3 linked regions of the Elephas maximus indicus genome follow. The protein of the gene in region 1 purifies or fractionates together with the protein of each later gene. This does not show direct contact. Links are inferred from orthologs where the notes say so. Each region holds a gene or a part of one and is shown on either strand. Other genes may lie near its edges.

Region 1 (7,741 bases):
TCAGAATTTCCATGGTACACTGCTGCAAATACAAACGCCATATATTGTGATTCATAGTATAAAGGTTGAGAAGCAAAGTGATGATTAACTCAAAAAGACAGTGACCTTTTCTTCCTAGAAGCTTAAAAACAAAGTAAATGTGGCAAGTAGAGAAACAACCATTAAAAAAAAAAGATAACTCTTTAACCTTGGTGCAGGATCGGAGTGTTACAGGAATTCTAAGGAGGGAGAGTCTTCCCTGTTGGACTGACCAGAAAGTGCCATGAGGAGAAGACAGGAGTGTAGTACTCTAGAACTAGCATACCACATAGATAATTCAATGAAAGAAAAAAAAAAAAAAAAAACGATAAATGTGGAGTGCTAAGAAAAGCACAATGTGAAAAAGGCCAAGAGGTGGGAAAGTGTTAACTGTCTTGGAAGAAAAGATGAACATGATAAATTTGAAAACTCAAATGAAGTCTTCAATGCTAAATGAAGGAGTATGGAATTTAAACTATCCAAGGTTTTGAGTAGAGAGAGATCATGTTTACATCAGCATTTTAGGGAAAAAAGTACAGCACTAGTATGTGGCATGGAATGAAAAGGGGAAGCTAAATTAGGAGGCTACTATAACTATTTCAGGGGAAAAAAGGCCTGAACAAAGCTGGTGACAGTAATAAGCCAGAAGCCCTGGTGGCACAAATGGTTGAGCGCTTGGTTGCTAACCAAAAGGTTGTTGCTTCAAATCCATCCAGTGGTTCCAAAGGAGAACGGCCTGGCAATCTGCTCCAGTAAAGATAATAGCCACAAAAACCCTGTAGGACAGTTCTACCCTGTCACATGGGGTCGCTATGGGTGGGAACTGATTCAACAACAATAAGCCAGAAAGTGGGTGGTTCCAGACACACTTTCAGTTAACACTGGAATTATCAGGTCAAGGGACCCAGCTAGCAGCTAGAAGCGTAGGAAAACCTGAAGCTAACGATCTGGAAATCAGCTCCACTGGATTATGGGTGTGGGCAGGAGAGAAGAAAACTTCGGTAACCTTCCATTACCTTAATTACAGAAAAAAGATCTTCACAGATTTGCTACTAATGTTAAGTTTCTAAGAAAAACCCATATTAATCTTCTGGATTTATTATAATTCATGAACTAAAATACATTTACCTGGTTGTTGCGGTTTTCCTGCAGTGGAGAAGTAGCATCATCAGGAAAAGAGCTGACATTTCTCCTTTTCAGCATCTGGTCATCCTTCTTAGCTTTCCTCAGCTCTACATTAACTTCTATTCGGCGCCGCCTCATTTCCTTGAGTAAAGAAAAGAAACATTGTTTCACCTTATTAATAATTTTCATTATCAAGTGAGGGCGTTTTTAATTCCCTCAAGTTTTTGATCCCTTGCCAAACATCTTCCCATTAAAAAGTATCATAAGAAAGCAACAGAAGGTACTCACTGTACTGTCTTTCCCCTTGTTCTTGAATCTGTTAAGCCGGGCAGCTGGTGAATTAGCATTCTCATTGGTGGACATGGTTGTGAAACAAAGGAAGAAAGCTAGATTGGGGGGTGGAGGAGAGAAAAAGAAACTCCCTTTTATCATTTTGCCTTTGCAATAATAAAATTTCCAAGCATATATTGAATCCACACTTCTATACTGGAGAAGGAATTTCACGTTTTCAGCATTACAAGATCGTTTTGGCCAAACAATAACCGCACCCCCCCCCCCCCCCCGCCCGCCCGCCCGCCCGCGGACAAGAGCTAAGAGTTTAACCAGTGTTGTCCATCAGAAATACAAAGCAAACCACAGAATTTTAAATTTCCTAGTAGCTGTATTATAAAAAGGCGATGATAAACAGATTAATCTTATTTAAGCCAAAACATCACTTAAACATGTTACCAATAGTAAAAAATGAGACATTTTTAATTCTTTTACATAGTCTTTGAAATCCACGGTGTAATTTATGTTTACAGCACACCCCAATTCTGACTACGCACATCTCAAGAGTTCAATAGCCACATGCAGCTGGCAACAACCATACTGGACATCGCAGCTCTAGACTCTCGCGGGTCCAAAACAGCTAAGTGAAGACAAAGTGGGGGAACCGAATTAACTTGCAGTTAAGACCCACGTCCACCTGGCAATAAATTCAGATCAACTGGAGGCTCTCTCCAGGAGTCTTCCTACTTTCATTGGTTTCAAATGGCCATAAAAAAGAGTGCATTTTCCACATTTGAAAATTAAAATCTGACTCATCATTAAGTTATGGAGTCTGCCGTATCATTTCCTGTCAACAATGAAAACCTGCGACGCAGTCCTGCACCCTAAGCATCTCGCAAGCATTTTAATTTCCAGAATTTCGCGTTCGAACGCACTGAATTAGGCTGCCATCAGCTCTGCCTCATTCAGGCTCAGATACTAAGGAGCAATCTCCAAAAGACGACAAAAGTAAAAACCCTCCTTACAGCTTGCTATCTTTAATCCCGTTATTTTCGTCTACGACATGATTGACAATCTGCCGACTCTTGGCCTGCTTTTTTAGATACAGGTCCTCCAACTGCCACCTCCCGCCCCAGCCCCTGGCCCCCATCCCGGGGAAGACGCTGCGGGCGAGGGCGGAGGAGAGGCAGGACCTGTCCGCGACACTGGCCCTCAGGCCTGTCTCATTCTGCCTCTCCTGGCCGCGACGCACAAAGGCTTTCGCTGCCGTTAGCCGAACCTCGGAGCCCTAAAGCTCCAGCTCCCGCATCGCGAAACGAAGCCGCTTCGACAACAAACGACGCCCCAGAGGCCTTGTCAACGAGGAAGGCCGAAGCCAGCCCCAGCGTATCCCTGAGGCCGCCTCCCGCCTCCTCCAAACAGAGCGCGCCCTGCGGGCCAGCCGTTATCGCTGCGGTCGGGCTGCGGCCTGAGTTCGTACTTACGGAGCGGCCTTAGGCTTCCACAGAAGGCGGTGCGGGGAGCTCACACGCTGCGGGCCGACTGCTCCACAGTCGTCCAACACGGCTCAGACCAGAGACGGTGTGGCTCGTGCAGCCGGCCGGCGCGATTTAAATTTCCCGGTGGCTCCGCATTCCGATTGGCTGGTTCGAGCCTAAGCTATGCATCCATTGGTGGATTTGAAAAACACGTTTGGGGGGGGGTCATAGAGCTTAGGGGAATGGGAGATAACATCGCGAGACGAGAGCGGCCTGGCGATCCCAGAACGCCTTGCAGTTGCGGTCCAGAGTGGGAGGACTCCAGATCCCGGCAGGCCGCGCGAAGGGGCGGCTCCCAACCCAGCGTGTCCGGAGGCTCGGGCCGCTCTCGGCTTCCGAAAGGCATCCCTGTAGGTGCAGTCGCTGTTGGTGTTCTGGGGGGCTGTTTTGGCCAAGTACCTCAAATTATTCTGAAAGTCATTTTTGAAAAACATCTTTATGTAAAAACATTGCTATGACTTGTTTTTCCCAGATACGACACAGAAAGGAACCGGGGGTGGGGGGCGGGATTGGAGGCCTGGTGATACAGTGGTTAAGAGCTTGTCTACTAACCAAAAAGACTGCAGTTGGAATCCATCAGCTCTCCTCGGAAACCCTACGGGGCTATAGGGTCGCTATGCGTCGGAATTCACTCGACGACAACGGTTTTTTAATAGACTTTTATGATGTAATAATTTTTTTAAAACTAAAAAATGCAACGCAGATCTTCCTCACCTCCCCCTCCATAAAACCCCCTTGCCGTCCAGTCGATTCCGAAGCATAGCGACCCTAAAGGACAGAAGAGAACTGCCCCATAGGGTTTCCAAGGAGCTTTTAGTGGATTGGAACTGCAGACCTTTTGATTAACAGCTGTAGCTCTTAACCACTGCGCCACCAGGGCTCCAAAAGACTGTGTAAGAAGCCACAAATAAAAAAGATTATGCTTGTTTCTCCACACACGCATTCTCAAACCATTTATTTTTAAATAACTTAAAATACATAATTGCAAATTTTTACCCATCTTACCAAATGTTAACATTTTGCTACTTTTGCTGTTTATCTGTTATAGTCATGCAGTTATATATATTAGTATACATATACACACTATGTGTATGTATATGTATGATTTTTACATATTATTTTTTGCACCATTCGAGGAAATCAACTCGACGGCAACGGGTTTTGTTTTAGGTTTTTACCCTTAAATACTTCAGCGTGTGTCTCCTAAGAATAACATTCTCCTATATAACCACACTGCATTCAAGTTCAGGAAATTGATTTTGATGCTACTTTTTAAATATACAGTCCATTTTCCAGCGTTAGTGTTGCCAATTGTTCCAGTAACGTTCTATGTTGTATTTTATACATTTCCGTATAAATGTTTGCGTTTTCTTGCCGTGTACTTTAAAAAAAAAAAATTCAACGATGGTATTGTGGGCCATTTTTGTTTTCTCTCTGCAATTTTTCTGTATTCTAAAAAAAGTTAATTTTAGAAAATTTATATTTTCTTTTTCACTACAAATAAATTCAAACTGTGAACTTTGTCCATTCTTGCATCCATGCCAGTCTCATTCATTTTGCAGTACCCACAGGGATTGTTCCTACTCACAAACTACCCAATCAGCATAACCCCCACCCCCTAGGTTCAAGAACATGGAAGGAATTCATGCCTAAACCAATGACTGCAGAGCATTCTCTTGGCTGCTGCAAAGGTTCAGTTGTGTGCACGTGACCTAAGTTCCCCCTGTTGGGAAGCCTATGCCTTTTGTTTGATGGCTGAAGGTTGGAAAGCTTGCTCTGTTCTGAGCAGAGGATGTGAGCCCTAGAAATCTGAATAAGAAAACTGTAGAGATGCCAAACCAGAGCTCTGATCAAAAGCCTGCCCTACCTCTGAAGGCTGCAATTAAATGACTTTGCAATAATTTGATCGGATACATTTTCATTATTGTTTAAGCTAGTTAAATTGGGTTTTCTGTTGCTTGAAAATAATCGTTTTATGTGCCTGGAGGTGTTCGACATGTTTATACACATGAACACATTTCATATCCACAACTCTGCAAGGTTGTCTGTAACGTTTCACATAAGACTAAATCACTAGCGGTTAAGAATCTTATCCAGGGTCACACAGCCAGTAAATGACAGAGACAAGACTCAGACCCAGGAAGTCTGCTTCCAGGACCCATGCTCTCAACCACTTCCATACTTGCACCTGAAAGCAGATACACATCGAAAGTGAAGGATGCAGGTGGACACTTGGGACTGTGTTGGCATCTCCTGCCTGGAGGGGGGACGGGAGGGTAGAGAGGGTTGGAAGCTGGCAAAAGTGTCACAAAAGGAGAGACTGGAAGGGCTGACTCATTAGGGGGAGGGCAAGTGGGAGTATGGAGTAAGGTGTATATAAACTTATATGTGACGGACTGACTTGATTTGTAAACATTCACTTGAAGCTCAATAAAAATTAAAAAAAAAAAAGTGAAGGATGCCTTTGAAAGATACAATGTTGCCTCAGGGAACCATGAGTCTCCCCCCTCCCCAGCCACTGAAGTTTGGATGTGCTGCCTGCAGCTCCAGATTCAGAAAAGGAGCCTGTCTGTCCTAAGCCAATCAGCACGTCCCATTTCCCAGACACAGGGATTGGTTAGGGATGAAGATGTGGCATGGTGCAACAACACTTATACTAAGGCTGCCAAGAGAGAGAAGTCCTTTTTCTTCCACCGGAAGTGTGCTGGGATGACAGGAGCCAGAGGTGCAAATCCAAGAGGTGGATCGTGGCAATATTGCCTGAATCATTCCAAGCCTGAAGCTGGTTCTGCCCAGGGGCTCTCTGGTTACATCATTTGATAAATTCCCCTTTGTGCTGAGCCAATTTGAGTGCTGTGTCACTTGCATCCAAAAGATTCTTAACTGACACTAGGATTCTTAACCTACACTAGCACTATAGTGTAAGCTCCATGAGGACAAGGGTTTTTATCTATTTTGTTCACTACTGAATTGTCAACACCCTTAACAGTGTCTAGCACATGAAGTTGCACAATAAATATTTGTAGATGAGTGAATGCTTGAGTAGAAACTTGACTATACAGGCCTCAGTCTCAAAAGATGCTGTCAGGAAATTTAAATTTGGGATGGCATAAATGCTCTCTGAAGCCAGGGGCTTGAATAAGTTATCTAGCAGACAGTAGGTACGTGCAGGTTTAATAAAAGAGATTAAGCCAAGTCGTACACCAATAGATTGGGCAGATCGCATGCTTGGTAAGACATATGGCTCCTTACATACACAAAAAAGAGCTTCTATCCATATTTTATAACCAGATAATCATATAATCAATAACCAGATAATTTTCTAATCAATAAGAAAATGACCAACAACTTTATAGAAAAATGCCAATAGAAAAATGGGCATGGTTACAGAAGAAGAAATATAAGTGACTTATAAATAAATGAAAATATCAGATTTCACTAAGAAAAGCAGTTTTTAAAAATGAGATACTGTTTTTGTCATTTTGGTGGCCAATAACATTTAGTGTAGTAGGGATTTGGCAGCAACGCGACGGGAGTAGGGATTTGAAGAAATAGATAGCTTTTCATATGCTGTTGGTGGGAATGCAAAATAGAACATTTCTGGCAGATCTACCAATATAAAAAAGGTACTAGATCAAAGGAGAATGAAGAACACCAAGGACACAAGGTGATTACGAGCCCAAGAGACAGAAAGGGCCACATGAACCAGAAACTACATCATCCTGAGACCAGAAGAACTAGATGGTGCCTGGCTACAACCGATGACTGCCCTGACAGGGAACACAACAGAGAACCCCTGAGGGAGCAGGAGAGCAGTGGGATGCAGACCCCAAATTCTCATAAGACCAGACTTAATGGTCTGAGACTGGACGGACGCTGGTGGTCATGGCCCCCAGACCTTCTGTTGCCCCAGGACAGGAACCATTCCTGAAGCCAACTCTTCAGACAGGGATTGGACTGGACAATGGGTTGGAGAGGGATGCTAGTGAGGAGTGAGCTTCTTGGATCAGGTGGACACTTGAGACTAGGTTGGCATCTCCTGCCTGGAGGGAGATGAGAGGGTAGAGGGGGTTAGAAGCTGGCGAAATGGACACAAAAAGAGAGTGGAAGAGAGTGGGTTGTCTCATTAGGGGGAGAGTAATTGGGAGTGTGTAGCAAGGTGTACATGGGTTTCTGTGTGAGACTGACTTGATTTGTAAACTTTCACTTAAAGCAAAATAAAAATTATTAAAAAAATTTTAAACATGTATATATTGTATAACAAGTAATCTCATTTCTAGGAAACTACCTTATACTATACTGGCATACATACAACAAAGTATATGCAAAGGTATGTTCATTGCCATATTGTATAGTGCACCAAAAAGCTGGAACCTAAATGTTCCTTAATAAATATAGTGGTTATCTGATATGTTTTGTTCTTTCTGTCAGTTCTGGTTAGAGTAGATTTGCCAATGAAGCACAAGCTTGAGGGTCTGTCCTTCACACAGCCCCCTTCCCAGGCCCTGGGAAGGTCCTAAAACTTTGTTTGCCTGGTCTTTTTTTTTTTTAAACAATTTCCAAAAGCTGGAGGTTAGAAGTAAGAATTCAGGGTGTGAGCAGGGCTATGCATACTCTCAGTCAGCTCTGAGGACAGATCCTTCCTTGTCTCTTTCAGCTTCTGGTATCCCCGGGCATTTCTCGGCATTCTTTGCCTTATAGACAGATCCTCACACATGCTGTCTTCCGTGTGTGTGTCTGTCTGTCTGTCTGTCTGTCTGTTTTTCCTTTTTATAAGATACCACTCACAA
Region 2 (7,479 bases), on another chromosome or scaffold:
ATCTATGCCTCCTGGATTTTTGATTATCATGAAACATACGGAAACCCTGGTGGCATAGTGGTTAAGTGCTACAACTGCTAACCAAAAGGTCGGCAGTTCAAATCCACCAGGCGCTCCTTGGAAACTCTATGGGGCAGTTCTACTCTGTCTTATAGAGTTGCTATGAGTCAGAATCAACTCGATGGCAATGGGTATTTTTGGTTTTATGTAACATACATTAATGGGTAGAAATTGTGTTATTTTTTAAAGTCTCCTGATGTAATCTGAAAACAAGAACTAAGATCTTTTAAAGTTGACCATTTTGTTTCATCAGGCATTAACCAAGAGCCTATAGCGAAGGACAGAAAGTAATGGGCAATAAAAGGACTAAAGAAGTAAGTTACTTACAAAACAATCTAATGAGAAATCTCAGGGACTAACATACTTTGTAATTTAAATCTAAAATACTCCATAACTACAAAGAGGTAAACTTATTTTGTCAATAAAAATATAATGGAAAGTTTAAAGGCAATACGAAATAGTTAGAAAACACAAAAAAAGAATTAAATTATAGCACACAAAACAAAAGTTAGAGGTTAAGAGAGAAAAAAGGTTATTCAGGAAAAAACTTAGTGTTCAGTTAATGGTAAGTAAGCTTTTAAGCAAAAGAAAGTGGCTCATAGAACAGCTTGCTCATATAGAAATGCAAATACTCGGTATCAAAGAAAAACATCTTGGAAATTAGGGTCTCTTTACATTCTCTGAAAGGCCTCAGCAAAACAGAGGCAAAGAAGTGCAATGTCAGTGAATTAACACAAAAAGCAAAGTGAACAGGAACATTTAACAGTAGAGTGAAAGGAGGACCACCAACTTTGTGGGGAAAAAGAATAAAAAATTAAAGAGGAAATATAAGAAATTAAACTGAGTAAGATATGAAACATGATAGTCTGTCAATGAATCAAATGTTAAAGGTAAAATAGTAAATACTAGGTCAGTTACAGCAGTGACCTGCAGATTAAGGACTTACTCAAATCTTACTCAAATGCAAGTCCACAAGTGAAATGACTTCTAGAGGTGGAGGTTGAGGGTCCAGAAAAATGTGTCTTCTGTTAATCCCCTAAGTATTAATTAGGCTCAATGTAAGGTTAGAAGATAGCGTAACTCTTCCAGGCCTGTGGACAAACAGTATCTCCAAAGCACTTAGCGTTCACCTCTGAAAATGTTACAATCCTCTTGCAGATGAGAATATCAAACCTCATTCTTTCAAACAAGCACAGTTCTTGGGACTCTCAAATTAATATTAAATGGTGGGAGATGTGTACAGTGGCTTATTTTAAAGAATGCTCCCCCTCACCATCCTACATTACCTCTCAGAAATTCAACCCTTCACATAAAATGTCAATTTTTTCCTATTTCAACTAAAGCTCTGCAGTGGTGGTTACGATAATGCCAAGATTTCTCCACCCCATCACCCAGCAATGCTGCAGAGAAGGCTGCCCTGGGAAACACAAGATCTGTGTTTCCTGGTAAGTCACGATCAGCTCGGCAGATTCATTTTCTATCTAGTATTTAAATGGATTTTGTTAATTTGAGAAGTGATAAAACCAAAGGCCATATGCACAGGTTAGATTAAAGCATGGAGAAGGTGTGAACTGTACAAGTACCCATATATTGCTCCATCAAATGCCTTATCCCAATCCATTACTCCTTTGCTATTTCAGTTTTAAACCTTCCTCCAAGCCTGTGCCTATCTCTTTTTGGCCACTGTTCTTCATCATGACATGCCACTCTTGCAACATAGATCTTCTTAAATGGCAACTATCGTTTTTCTTATCATAACTTTTTCCCCTCTCAAGGGGTGGGATCATTCCAAAATATTAGGAATGGGGAGCTTCCCATACTCAGGCCCTTCGAGGCTGACTGCAATTTATTCTGAAATCTAGCTGGTGACCAAGGCAGAAGAAATGCATAAGTAGAAGTCATCATCTAAACAACTAGCAGAGGACATTACCCAAATCACAAACTCACCTTCTAGTATCTAAAGTGCCTTGCACCAGATAGGACCTCAGTTGCTGCTAAGGATAACCCAAACAGTCAGTGAGTCTCTGACTGAGTTCACAGGCTCAGAGCAACAAGGAGATTAAACGATCCGCCCATGCTGGTGTGATGAAGGCCTGCAGCAGACACTGATCATGCAACGCCTCTGGCTGTGTACTTGGTGTGCTCCCCTATATCTGCTCTTTAAAAAAAGACATTGAATTCCAAGTCTTTGACTACTGGCTGGCTCACCGTGCCCAATCACTGAAATGAGACTGGATCACTAAATATACGTGTGTGTGTACGTCTTCTTCGAAGACCTTAATCACTTCAGGCCTGCTCCAAAAAAGGCAGAGGCTGCTGCATTTGCACAGCCGCTGCACTGGGCGGAGAAATTCCCTGCGACACTACACACAGGTAAATAAAGAAACTGCATTTGCCCCGAGGCAAGAAGAGGGGTCTTCTGCCTGGGGAGAGTTTACATAATGCACCATAAACCCACTGAACTCTGCATATGTGTCAAAGGAGATGCAAGGCTTGCGCTCCTCTCTTCCCACCATGTCTAAACACACTCCAACAGCTTGCCCTTTTCTCCCAGAAGACCCACAGAAATTGTACCTAAGAATGTACAGCAACCTGCGCACGCTCACCCTATGCTTTCTTACTCACCTCTATTATTTAAAAAAAAGGGGCGGGGGGGGAGAAAAAGAAACCTAACCTCCCACTTCTGAGTCCAAAGTATGGAGTAACCAAACAGAGTCGGGGAGTTTACCCTCCCCTGAAGGAGAAAGGAGAACAAGGAGCTGCCTCAAATCTATACCACGCCCAGTAATGCAATGACAAGCCTTAAAAAAGCAACAGCGGCCCGGGCAGGCCCCTCACGGGTTGGCCGGACTCGGGCCCCGCGGGCCCGCAGGCACCCTCTTCCCCTGGCCTCTCACAAAGAAGAATGGTTCAGTCCAGAGCATCACCCAACACCTGATTCCTCACAAGTGGGGGACAGGCGGGGGGCGGGAGCGGAAGGAGGATAATGAGTTAATGAAATTAATTCTAAGAGCTTTAGCTTTTGCTAGGACTCGTGGAGCAGCACTGAGAAGTCCATGTGAGCGGGAAGCCTACCTGAACAAGTCCTGGTGCTTCTTTTCCAGCCCCGTTTCAACTCACCCTTTCGGAGAACAAGGCGCTTTCCGGCGGAGCATGGCCAGCTCTCGTCTCAACCGAGCTTGCTAGTAGTCCATTCTCCCTCGGCTCCGCCCACCTGCCCTCCCACCCACCAATGGCAAGGCTGAAGCCCGGCCTCTTCCAGCATGGTAGTGTGAGCGCCATCCAGGAAGTCTCCTGTGAGTGGGAGGTCCTAAAAGGCTGGGAAGGGTACGTAGGCAACCACAGATATGCCTGATTGAAAATAAAAATCTGGCGGCAGCTCGTCTCTGATGGCTCAGTTCACAGGCGCTCAGGCCTTTCGGCATCTTTTTTTTTTTTTTTTTTAGACCCCGGCCGTTGGGGGCGCTCTAAACTAAAACATTTAGTTACCTGTGTCTAGGAAGCCATCTTGGCTCAGGCTGGTGCCTTGGGGGCGGGGAGAGGGAAGGAGTGTTTGAGCAATATGAAGTCATTTTCCACGTTTTACCCGACTACTCGGGACCAGCCCCAACATTCTCACCTTTATATAATCAGGATGTAACCTCAATCATTATAGGGGAGAGACTCTGTAATGCCGAATATGGTTAGAAGCAACCGTATCACCCTCCCACTTAACTGCACAAGTGAAGCAATTTTACCATTGAAAGCAAAAACCAATTCTTCAGATGAGACTGGGTGCTCCCAGTTCCTGGAATAATCCTTTATAGACACCTCACTCCTCAGAGCATCAGCACATAACCAACATAGGTTATGTATCTATTCTAAAAAAAAAAAAAACTATTCTAGATGCTTCTAAATCTTATGCTGCTCTTGCAAAATTTCCAGTGTTCTGACTTGACAGTTCCAGTGTTCGGACTTTGACAGCACAGAGGGTTGTGAATCAGTTGGAAATAAAGAGCTGGAAAAATTTTCAATTAAAAAAAAAAAAGAAAAATGGCCTCAAATTCATCAATGAACCACAACTACTTGTGCATGCATACAATGGAAAAGACAGAAGCCTTACACGAAAAACTCTGTGTAGGGACAAGACGGTCCTTTAGGGGGCAGCTCAGCCGTAGAAACATTGGTTGGAGGAAGTAATTTTCTACTGGCTGCTATCGACTCGACGGCGGTAGTTTTTTTTAGCTCTTAAATCGGAGAGGAAATGATTTCATTGTTAGTGAAATTTTCTTGCACTAGAAGCCTTAAACGGGAAACTATGTGTAAGGAGAAGTGGGGGGGACCTAAAGCCCTAACCTCCATTCTGAGTCCAAAGTATGGAGTAACCATAGGGGGCAGCCCGGCCATAGAAGCATTGGCTGGAGGAGGTAATTTTCTACTGGCCGCTTTTAAATCAGAGAGGAAATGATTTCATTGTTAGTGAAATTTTCTTGCACTAGAAGCCTTAAAGGAGAAGGGGGGAAAAAAAAACTAAAGCCCTAACCTCCATTCTGAGTCCAAAGTATGGAGTAACCATAGGGGGCAGCCCGGCCATAGAAGCACTGGCTGGAGGAAGTAATTTTCTACTGGCTGCTTTTAAATCGGAGAGGAAATGATTTCATTGTTAGTGAAATTTTCTTGCACTGAGTGACACTGGTTTTCCAGTATTTCTCAGTCTAAATCTTATTACAACTCACTACAAAAAGTCTTTATTTATTTATTTTTTTTAAGCCTGTAAGTGAAGGGGAAACCCTGGTGGTACAGCAGTTAAGTGCTATGGCTGCTATCGAGAGGCCGGCAGCTCAAATCCACCAGGCGCTCCTTGGAAGTTCTATGGGGCAGTTCTACTACTCTATCCTATAGGGTCGCTATGAGTCGAAATCACTCCATGGCAATGGGTTTGATTTTTTTTTTTTTTTGGTGAGCAAAAGGAGTCCCTCCAGGTCACTAAAAGAATTCTCTCAAAGAATAACACAGTCTCATGGTCATCCGTGGTAGGAGCTTAGAAACCTTAGAGTCATATGACTCAATCTTTTATCAGAGAGGTGATAAGAGTTGACCAAATAAGTTCTCCTGTATATTGAACAAAGTTTGTTGGCCAAATTCTCCCCTGGCTACTGCTGTCGTTATACCAAATTTGAGTTTGGTGTTAGGATTTACCATAGCAATGTGTTTGCAATGAATATATAGATATGATCTTATTTATTAGTAGTCTCTAGAATGAGAGTCTATTATCCTTCTAATGTTATTTGGTACAAAATGGACCCATCATCAGAGAACTAGTTACAGGTATTATAGATAGGGAATGTGCCTGGTCCAATAATTTCAGCTACTTGCAATGATCTTTTCCTGTAACTGGTATGATCTCCTGGTGGCTCAATGGTTAAAGTGATTGACTGCTAACTGAAAGGTCAACAATTTGAAATCACCAGTCACTTGCGGGATCAAGATGTGGCAGTCTGCTTCCATAGAGATTTACAGCCTTGGAAGCCCTATGGGGTCGCTATGAGTCAGAAGGGACTCAATGGCAGTGGGTTTGGTTTTGGGGGGGTTAGTTTGATTTCCAATGGTGCTGGCCTTCAAAAATCAATACTCAGATTATCTCATAATTACCATTCTTCACATGGGGTGGGAGATCCACCTTCTACGATATTTCTTCAATGTCACTTCACTTAACATCAGCAATGATCAGCACAGGCTGTGAAATTGCTTCTGTTTCTCGTGTTTCCCTTACAATTGGTGAAATGCCCAAGTACAGAGGTTATAAGTTGGCTTGGATAATAAAACTGAATATGGGAGTTAGAAGGAAGCTTTATCAATAACTTTGATAAAATTCCTTAGGAGGAGATTATTTACTTATGTTTGGGATACAATAAGAAATGACATGTACATATGAGCAGCTTGGATACATGCATACACACAGTAATGATACAATTGATCAACAACAAAAATGTTAGAAAAATTCATGAGACCTCAGTGTTGTGGAACAGAGTGGGAAATCAAGGCAAGAAGATATAGCAAGTGACCTAGAAGGCCTTGTGCGGAATGAAGCAAAAGCAAATTTTGCTAGGATAGTATTATATGCTTTTGAAAAGGAGAATGGTTGGTAAGTATCCACTTATGCTGACAGCTTGAAAACAGGCAGCCTTACTGTATGCTGCATGGAATGGAGGCAGAGGTCCTAGGAAGAGTGGAAGAGAGAAGGAAAAGAGCAATATGGGACCTAGGGTAAGCAGATAGAAGAGATTGAAACAAAGTTATCAAAGGGATGACTCTAAGGCCTTTTGTTTACTCTGAAGTCTAAAATAAACCTGTTCTAACTCTTTAAGTCAGTCAGTCAAATTCAATGATCATGTAATGAATGTAGCAGTGGGCTCTGTGAAGGAATGGTGGTGGGCGTGGAGATTTTACAAAATTGAAGGAATGACAGGAGCTTACGAACTACATGGGGAGACAGATCCTATACATAAAACAACTGTAAAACATATTTGTAAAACAACATTAATACAAATAAATATAAACAGTATAAGAAAGGTGGAGCCTAAAAGGGATACCATGTCAATAATTGCTTAGAAGTCCCTAAGTCAGTCACAGAAGTCTTCCTGAAGGAAAAAGTTTTAGACTTTGGGTATAATTTTAGCAGAAAGTAGGGTGCGAGCCAGGGCATGGAAGTGGGAGTAAATATATCATGTCCAGTAAGCAGATTAGTTCGGTTGGATTAGGAGGTTTAAATTGTCTAGTAAGAAGTGAGTATGATGCAATAGTAGCAGTCTGTTTGGTGAAAGACACTACGATGTTAGGTCTGGTCCCTGAAACAAAACAAGCAGTGAAAGAATATTTTTTTTAGTTAATGATAAGTGGTCATAGGTCCAGGACCATCTCACTGCTCTCAAAAGTTTTTTAGTCACTCTAAGGGACAGAAACTAGAAATGGGATGGTCTAGAAAAGTACTGAGCATCTTTCAGCAGTTCAGGTAGAAGGAACTGCCTTCTGGAAGATCCCTCAGGAAGTGGCAATTGGACCCCCAAAGGCAAGTAAGTTAAAAAATCAATGAAATTTCTAGGCAGGGGATCTAACACCCACAGCTCACTAAATCCCAGTATTCTCAAGCGATGAAGCAGAACATCCTTGACCCTTGTTACTAATTCTTGTTGGGGAGCAGAATGGGTATGCTTATAAAATAATTTATTTGTGGACTACAGTGACTATCAGCTTTGATCTTAACGTTTTAGAAATTAAAATAGGGGGACGAGAAAAGCCCTAAGCTATAGGGAATGCTTACATCCCTGAAGAATTATAGGTCAGTTTTAAGGGCCCAAATCCTTCTCTGGTCCTTAAGGGAAAAGGCAAAACATCACACCTTACAGAGAGTATTCTCTCAGCCAAAGCAAGCAAGACCTC
Region 3 (7,804 bases), on another chromosome or scaffold:
ATGGGTCCACAAAGTCCCCTGTATTCCCAACCCTCCTCCAGATGTATTTTGAGGCTCTTTCCTTATAAACAAGCTGACTCGCCATAAGGAAGAGGTCCACTGCAGCCCTCTGAGATGAGAGCTGTATTTTCTTTCTCTCCCTAATGCTGTAGAGTCTTTGTTGTTAAAACTCTCTAGCTCCTTGGCATTTATGGCCTGTGGATACATAATCCTTTGCCTCCATTTGCTGCAATTGCCTGTAGTCCCCTGGCTTATTCCTTCTCATTACTTGAAGACTTGTGTTACTGGATCACAATCTTCTTTACCCAACTCCTGCCACCATTCTTAGTGACTTAAGTATCCACATAGAAGACCCATTTAATAAGGCAGTACTTGCTTTTCAGTGTTCTGATATGCATAAATTTTAGTTACCATCATTTAGCTAAATAACACTAGTCCCCCAACAACATGGCCCAAATCTCAGTTGCCATGGTGTATTAACTGTGAGAAACTGCATAAGGTAAACTTCACAGCTGGCTCTTTGATCCACAGATCACATATGGAGATAACAGATGTGTGTCATGCTCCTCTTTTGAAGTCCGTCAGGTTGGTCGCTGCGTGTCTGCACTCAGGGCTTCAGTTTGCACAAACAGTAGAGTGTGTAGTTATGCTGCCTCCTCATCTCCCAGTGATATACCCACTTGATGTTTTATTAAAAATGGGTAATCCAAAGGGGGAACTGGCCAAAAAGGTCAAAATGTACAGCAAAGAAACAAAAAGTGATAAAGTTGGAAGGGAAATTTGGATGTGATTAGGAGATTTCAAAATGAGGACAGCAAAGCAAAGACAGGATGAGATCTAGGCCTGTGTGAAGGTAATGTAGGAACATCGGGAAAAAGTGCAGTGAATATAAAAAACAAGGTAACGTTGCTTCGGTATTTTTTAGCTTAATTGCACTAGGAACAGAAAGCTGTTCACAATTGAAATGGAGACTTTCTTCTACCTTGGCTTGAAGACTGCATTAATAATAATAATAATAAATACCAGACAGTTTGATTAGCACTCAGGACAAAGTGTGGAAATCAGTTGTCCCACTGAAAGAAAACAGTAATTATAAAGAGACTGAACCTTTTACTGCCAGTGAAGGCCGGTCTTGTTTCAGAAGTCAGCATGATTGATTCATGTCAGGCTATCTGGTAAGCTGCTAGCGCAGGTGATGACACTGCAGGCGTCTGCACCCAGAGCTCGCAGGAGAGTCATGACAAAAGGGGACCATATCCACATGGAGCAACTCCACATTGAGGAAACTCTGGGAGGCATTCACGACATTGAAAATACAAATGAGAACTTGTTGGAAGCTGACCCAAACTTAGAAAAGAGTATGACAATTTATCAAGGTATAGGAAAGATAAGTTATAGAATGAGAAGGCAAGCAAGGTTCACATTACTCTTTTTTTTTTAAACAAAGAACTCTCAATGTTTTTGCTGTTTTAAATTACAAACATACTAAATAAATACTAGCTTTACAACTTTTTTCATTTCCCTATACATTTAAAAGAAGTCCCTGGGTAGCACAGATGGTTTGTACTCGACTGCTAACCTACAGGCTGGTGGTTCAAACCCATCATGCAGCGCCTTGAAAGGCCTGGTGATCTACTTCTGAAAAATTAGCCATTGGAAACTCTATGGTGCACGGTTGTACTCTGATTCACATGGGTCTCCACAATTCACTGACAGCAACTAGCTAAAATAATAGGTCACTCAGAATTGCCTCCTTAGTGCTCTTCCCTGTCTTGCACATTGGTAGTCTGAGTATTTGTTGAAATGAAATGTTTTATATTCGTATTTGGTCTAGAGACAGAATAGCTAAGAAGAGTAGGGCAAAATAACTGAATAATTTAACATTAAGCTCTTTGCACGGAAATCTGACCGAGTCCCCTGAACAGTGAAGAGAATTTTGGGGCGAGGTGGGGCCGGATGGAGTGGGTGGAAGGCTGCATCTGCGACCTTCACTCTCAGCTTCTTGCCTGGACTTCAGGCCGTTTTCCACCGTGGGCTCCTGGAATAGGGCGGGGAGCAGGTCTGACTGAGGTTGTGGGAGAAAGCGAAGTCTGAATTAGGAGAAGTTCCGGAGCCTGAAGTTGTTGGTGATGCCGTCTCTGATTTGATGCAAGTGAGAAGGCCCGGGAAGGGTGGGCTGGGAGGGTAAATGAGGGTGGTTTGTATTAACGTGATGGACAAAAAATCATTCATGTCTCTCAAGACTTTTGGCTGCTGCGTGTAGGCAAAAATATGAATGAGAGAGAAGCCATGTTGTACTTTAAATCCAGTTGCCCGGACTAACGTCTCATCTACACTCTGACAGTCAAGCGCCTGCTGAGAGGTCAGCTTTGACTCATTTCTGGCAGTTCCGGAGACAGTCACAGTTGTCTCCCACGTGTTAAGGTTGAGTCCCCAACATTCTGCTTTTCTAGAGAAGTCCTGGAAGTGCCTCGTGAGGCCGGAGGACTAGGGGTGGTAATAGATTCAGTCCGCAACGGAGAGCCGCCGTTTACTCTCAACGGGCTTGCGCAGTGCGCTTTGCAGTGACCCTGACGAGCCACCCGTGAGAGCCGGGCGCGCGGAGCCAGGGCCGGGCAGCGCTGAGGGCGTGTGTGCTCGCGCCCGCCGCTCCCGGACGCCGCCCCCGCTCCCGCCGCTCCCGGACGCCGCGTGCGCACGCCGAGCCTGGGTGGGCGCGCGCTGGGCCGCACGCGGGAGCGCCTCAGCCGCCGGCCGCCAGGGCTGCTCCCGGGTCTGCGTGAAGCGGGCGGCGAGAACAAAGACGGCGCGGGAGGCGGCTGCGGGCCGGTCGCGAGGAGAGGCGGGGCAGCGCTAGGACCGGGGACTGCGGGGCCGGGGCCTGAGGGCACCGTGGGACCGGTGACGGCTCGTTCCCGGGTCCGAGCACTGACGGGAGCGGCGCGGCTCCGCGGGCGCTGACGGGCGGACAATAGGGAGAGAGTAACGTGGGGAGGGGTCGGTCCCGCGGGCTGCGGTGGCGCGGAGAGGGGGCAACCGGCTGAGGAGAGAGGCGGGCCGGAAGTGCGCCGGGACGCAGAGCAGCGGCAAGAGGGGGCGGGGCCTAGGAGCGCGCCCGCCTTGAGGGGTGCGGGAAGCGCAGCGCCGGGTCCGGCTGAGGGTGCGGAACTGGGGGCGGGGCTAGGTGGAGGGGCGGGGCCTCGGGGGTGGTCCGTGAGGGGAAGGTCCCGGCCGCGAGGGGGCCGGGCTGAGGGGAGGGTCCAGGTTGAGATGCCCGGCCGTGAGGGGAGGGTCTGGGACGGGCGGTGGGGCGGAGCCGTGGGGGGGATACGTGAGGGGGCTCGGCTGAGGGGATAGTGCGGGCTGAGGGGAGGGTCCGTGAGGGAAGGTCCGGGCCGAGGGGAGGGTCCGTGATTGGAAGGTTCCGGCGGCGAGGAGGACGGGCTGAGGGCAGGCTCCGTGACGGGGGGGTCCGGGCTGAGGGGACGGTGCGGGCCGAGGGGGTGTGGGCTGAGGGGAGGGTTCGTGAGGGGAGGGCTCGGGCGACGAGGAGGGCAGGCTGAGGGGAGGCTCCGTGACGGCGGGGTCCGGGCTGAGGGGAGGGTGCGGGCCGAGGGGAGGGTCCGGCCTGAGGGGACGGCCCGGGCCGCGAGGGGGCCGGGCCGAGGGGAGGGTCCGGGCTGACGGGAGGGTCTGTGAGGGGAGGGCCCGGGCCGTGAGGGGGCCGGGCCGAGGGGTGGGTCCGGGCTGACCGGAGGGTCCGGGCTGAGGGGAGGGTCTGTGAGGGGAGGGTCTGTGAGGGGAGGGTCTGTGAGGGGAGGGCCCGGGCCGCGAGGGGACCGGGCCGAGGGGTGGGTCTGGGCCGACCGGAGGGTTCGGGCTGAGGGGAGGATCTGTGAGGGGAGGGCCCGGGCCGTGAGGGGGCCGGGCCGAGGGGTGGGTCCGGGCTGATCGGAGGGTCCGGGCTGAGGGGGGGGTCTGTGAGGGGAGGGTCTGTGAGGGGAGGGCCTGGGCCGCGAGGGGGCCGGGCCGAGGGGTGGGTCTGGGCCGACCGGAGGGTCTGGGCTGAGGGGAGGGTGCGGGCCGAGGGGAGGGTCTGTGAGGGGAGGGTCCGGGCCGAGGGGAGGGTCTGGGCTGAGGGGAGGGTCCGGGCTGAGGGGAGGGTCCGGGCTGCCAGGAGCTTCCGGGCCGAGGGAGGGCCTGCGTCTGGCGGGCGGGGCGGGGCTCGGCGGCCGCGTTGCCGGCAGGGCGGTGGGAGGGGAGGGTGACGTGAGGAGGGGGCCGAGAGCGTCCGCCATCGCTCGCCGGCTCCGCGTCGCCTCCTGCTTCTCCGGCCCTCTCGGCGGCGGCACTCGGCGCGGCGCTGGCGGCGGCCATGGCGGTGGCGGCGGCCATGGCGGCGGCGGGCCGCGGGGCGCGCGGCGGCAGGGGCCGGCCCCCGGGCGGCGGGCGGGCGGGGGTGGCCGAGGGGGCGGGGCCCGGGGCGCGGCGGGCTCTCCGCGCGGCGGCGGCAGCGGCGGCGGCGGCAGCTGCCGGGACCAGGCGGCGGCGGCGGCGACGGCGGCGGCGCGGGGCGCTCGGGCTGATGGCGGCGGCGGCCGGCCCCGGGTCGGCGCTGTCCCCGCGCCTGTGCGACGGCGACCCGTCCGCCCCCGGAGCGCAGTCCCCAAAGGTGAGGAGGCGGCGGGAGGCGGGCGGCGGGCGGGTCCCGCGGCGGCCGGGCGGAGCTGTGGGCGCCGCCAGCCCGAGGCCGCGGCCGGTCCGAGGGGAGCCGCGGCCGGTCCGAGGGGCGCCGCCGCCGGGAGTTTCCGGAGAAGTTCTGTTCCTCCGCGCCCTCACGGCGCCCCGGCCCCGGACGTGCTCGGCTGCCCGGCGGCGGTTCACCCTGGCGCCTTCCCTGAAAACGGGGCGGTCCGGGAGTCAGGCCCCGGCGGCGGGCTCCGTGGGCGGCAGGTTCGCGCGTGGTTTCCTCTTTTCAAGGAGCGCGAAACGGCGAGACGCGGACGGGGGAATTGGAAGCCTTTTCCCAAAACTTTGCGGCCATTTCCGTATCTGAGACTGTAAGCTCAGTTCCTGAAAAGCTTACTCAGACTTTATTAGAGAAGCGTTGTGCTTCCAGGTAGAAACGAAACTCTTCATAAATAAAAGTCTATTTCGTATTAGTGTGGGATAGTGTGATGTTCTCAAAACATCATTCTGTGAATTTTTTCCGAGATACTTGACCCCTTATTAAAACGAGGGTTGTAAACAGCCCTGGAAACAGGACGTTTCTTTAGTGAACTTAGTAGAATGGCTCAACTAGCACGGCCGGGACGCTGGCGCCGACGGAGACACCTTGTGGTCGCACAAGGCTGTCCTGTGCCGGCCGTCTTCCTGCTCCTTGTCCTCTGGGGGACCTGGTGTTTCAGGTGTCCCGGCCAGTGAACCTAAGTAGACCAGGTGTCTGTCCGCACACCACTGTCGTCCTTGCAGCATCTCATGCAAGGCTGGCATGTGCTGGGCTCGGCCAGGATCCAGCCTGCAGGACGGGGTACCTTATCGAAGGTTGGAGCCACCTGTAACCACGAAACGTAAATGTCTGTTTGGGACGTTTGGGAGTTTTTGAAAACATAGGTCAAGGTTTCCAGTAAACTCTTAGGACTTAATTCTATTCCATAGTATGTTGGGGAAGACATTGCTGGCATTGTCTTGAAAAAGGTGAGCTAACCGAATTCTTACATAATAATCCATTTGCCTAGGATAGCAAATTGCAAACTCTTTATATATGGAGTTGTGGTTTCAGCTTTTTGAGGACTTATTTTAACTTTTATTATTGAGTATCTCAATTTTTTAGCTAAAGAGAAATATTTTTAAGCAGATTGACTTAAAAATCCTTAAAATGTTTACAAGCAAGTCAAAAAATAAGGATACTTTGACTGTTGAACTCTAGAGGTATTGAATATGAAATGTTGCAGTTGTAATACTACTTAATTGTAGTTGATTAGTAGTTTTTTTTAGTAGTTATTTCAATGTAAAATTTCTGAGAGTAGCTTTAGACTATTCTCCAGGTCCTACCTGGCTGATGGTCTTAATAAGAATATACAGATCTCTTTAGTTGAATGCTTACTTTATAAGGACTGAAAAACAGTATTTTGTACATTTTACTGAGTGGGGAAGGATGTGAGTAAATTCCTAACAGCTGGAGACGTTTGAGATATTTGAATAATTACCATTATAATCATAATATTAACTAACATTTATTGAACATTTAAGCTGAGGCTAAGGGAGCTCAGCTGCTGACCAAAAGATCAACAGTTCGAATTCACCAACCACTCCTTTAAAACCCTATAGGGCAGTTCTACTCTGTCCTATAAGGTCCCTGTGAGTCAGAATCGACTTGATGGCAGTGGGTTTGGTTCATTATTTCCTAGGCATTGCTCTATGTGCTTTCCATGCGTTAACTCATTTAATCCTTGCGTTAACCACATGAAATGGGCACTGTTACCATCTTGACTTTACAGATAAGGAGAGGCCCCTAAAGGATGAGCACGCAAGCTCTACAGAGGGGCAGCATCCGGTGATTCCATGCGTGATCACTACCCCATACTGCATCTTTGTTTTCCTTTGTAGGGTTCCTTTCATTTTAGTATGTAGCAAGAGGCCTGTGGTATGTTAACAAAATTGTATTAGTATTAGAAAGTTACAGTAATTTGATTTTTAAAAAATCTGTGTTTTTAGATCTTGTTAAGTGCCTTCTAGCTGGCTCTGACTCATAGTGGCCTTGTGTACAACAGAACGAAACACTGCCTGGTTCTGTGCCATCCTCACAATCATTGTTATGCTTGAGGCCATTGTTACAGCCACAGTGTCAATCCATCTCCTTGAAAGTCTTCCCCTTTTTTATTGACAGTCTACTTTTCCAAGCATGATGTCCTTCTCCAGGGACTGATCTCTTCTGAATAACTTGTCCAAAGTATGTGAGACGAAGTCTTGCCATCCTTGCTTCCAAGAAGCATTCTGGCGGTACTTCTTCCAAGATAGGTTTGTTTGTTCTTTTGGCAGTTCATGGTATATTCAATATTCTTTGCCAACACTATGATTCAAAGGCATCAATTCCTCTTTGGTCTTCCTTATTTGTTATCCAGCTTTCACGTGCATATGAGGCGATTGGAAACACCATGGCTTACCCCTTGACTAGTATGTGAATAAATCAATTTCCTAATGTCTAATTCCTCATTTCATTTCCTTAATGGAAATGTTGAACTTAAACAGTTAAAAACCAGTTACCCTGGAGTTGGTTGCCACTCATCGTGACTCCATGCGTGCCAGAAGAGAACTGTGCCCCACAGGGTTTTCAGTGACTGATTTTTTGGAAGTAAATCACCAGGCCTTTCTTCTGAGGCAGCTCTGGGTGAATTCAAATCTCCAGCCTTTCAGTTATCAGCAGAACAGGTTAACTGTTTACACCACCTTTGATATTCTTGTCACATAAAGGATTGCATTAAAAGTTTTTAAATCTCTCCTTTTTGGGGGATGTGAGTATGGCTGTACAGATTGATGACTTTTTAGGGTATATTTTTGCTAAATTTTTGAATGTAAAAAAAATATTTCACAGGATTGGTAATCCGATTTTAGTCTTAGTATGTACCCTTTTCACGGAGGTATACAAGTACTTAAAGTAGTCAGTTAGATGAGTTCTGTAAGCTTATTGTGGTGTTGACAAAGAATATTGAATATACCATGGACTGCCAGAAGAACAAACAAATTCGTTTTGGAAGAAATACAGCCAGGATGCTCCTTAGAAGCAAGGATGGTGAGAATTTGT

Evidence for each region.
Region 2: the proteins of KPNA2 (region 1) and CHD8 purify together in Homo sapiens (affinity purification with mass spectrometry; 4 studies listed by BioGRID and IntAct, with this or other methods). This does not show direct contact. The link is inferred for Elephas maximus indicus from reciprocal best matches to the Homo sapiens genes KPNA2 and CHD8.
Region 3: the proteins of KPNA2 (region 1) and PHF10 purify together in Homo sapiens (co-immunoprecipitation; 3 studies listed by BioGRID and IntAct, with this or other methods). This does not show direct contact. The link is inferred for Elephas maximus indicus from reciprocal best matches to the Homo sapiens genes KPNA2 and PHF10.

What each region holds. Positions count from the first base shown.
Region 1 is NC_064837.1:55,934,859-55,942,599, forward strand, and holds the start of KPNA2 (importin subunit alpha-1), read right to left. Parts: upstream 3,012-7,741; 5' UTR 2,898-3,011; intron 1,530-2,897; 5' UTR 1,507-1,529; coding exon 1,432-1,506; intron 1,285-1,431; coding exon 1,147-1,284; intron 1-1,146.
Region 2 is NC_064828.1:31,812,701-31,820,179, forward strand, and holds the start of CHD8 (chromodomain-helicase-DNA-binding protein 8), read right to left. Parts: upstream 3,243-7,479; 5' UTR 3,181-3,242; exon of another isoform or gene 3,136-3,180; intron 1-3,135. UniProt on the Homo sapiens protein: ATP-dependent chromatin-remodeling factor, it slides nucleosomes along DNA; nucleosome sliding requires ATP. Acts as a transcription repressor by remodeling chromatin structure and recruiting histone H1 to target genes.
Region 3 is NC_064819.1:242,847,595-242,855,398, reverse strand, and holds the start of PHF10 (PHD finger protein 10), read left to right. Parts: upstream 1-4,562; 5' UTR 4,563-4,585; coding exon 4,586-4,672; intron 4,673-7,804. UniProt on the Homo sapiens protein: Involved in transcription activity regulation by chromatin remodeling. Belongs to the neural progenitors-specific chromatin remodeling complex (npBAF complex) and is required for the proliferation of neural progenitors.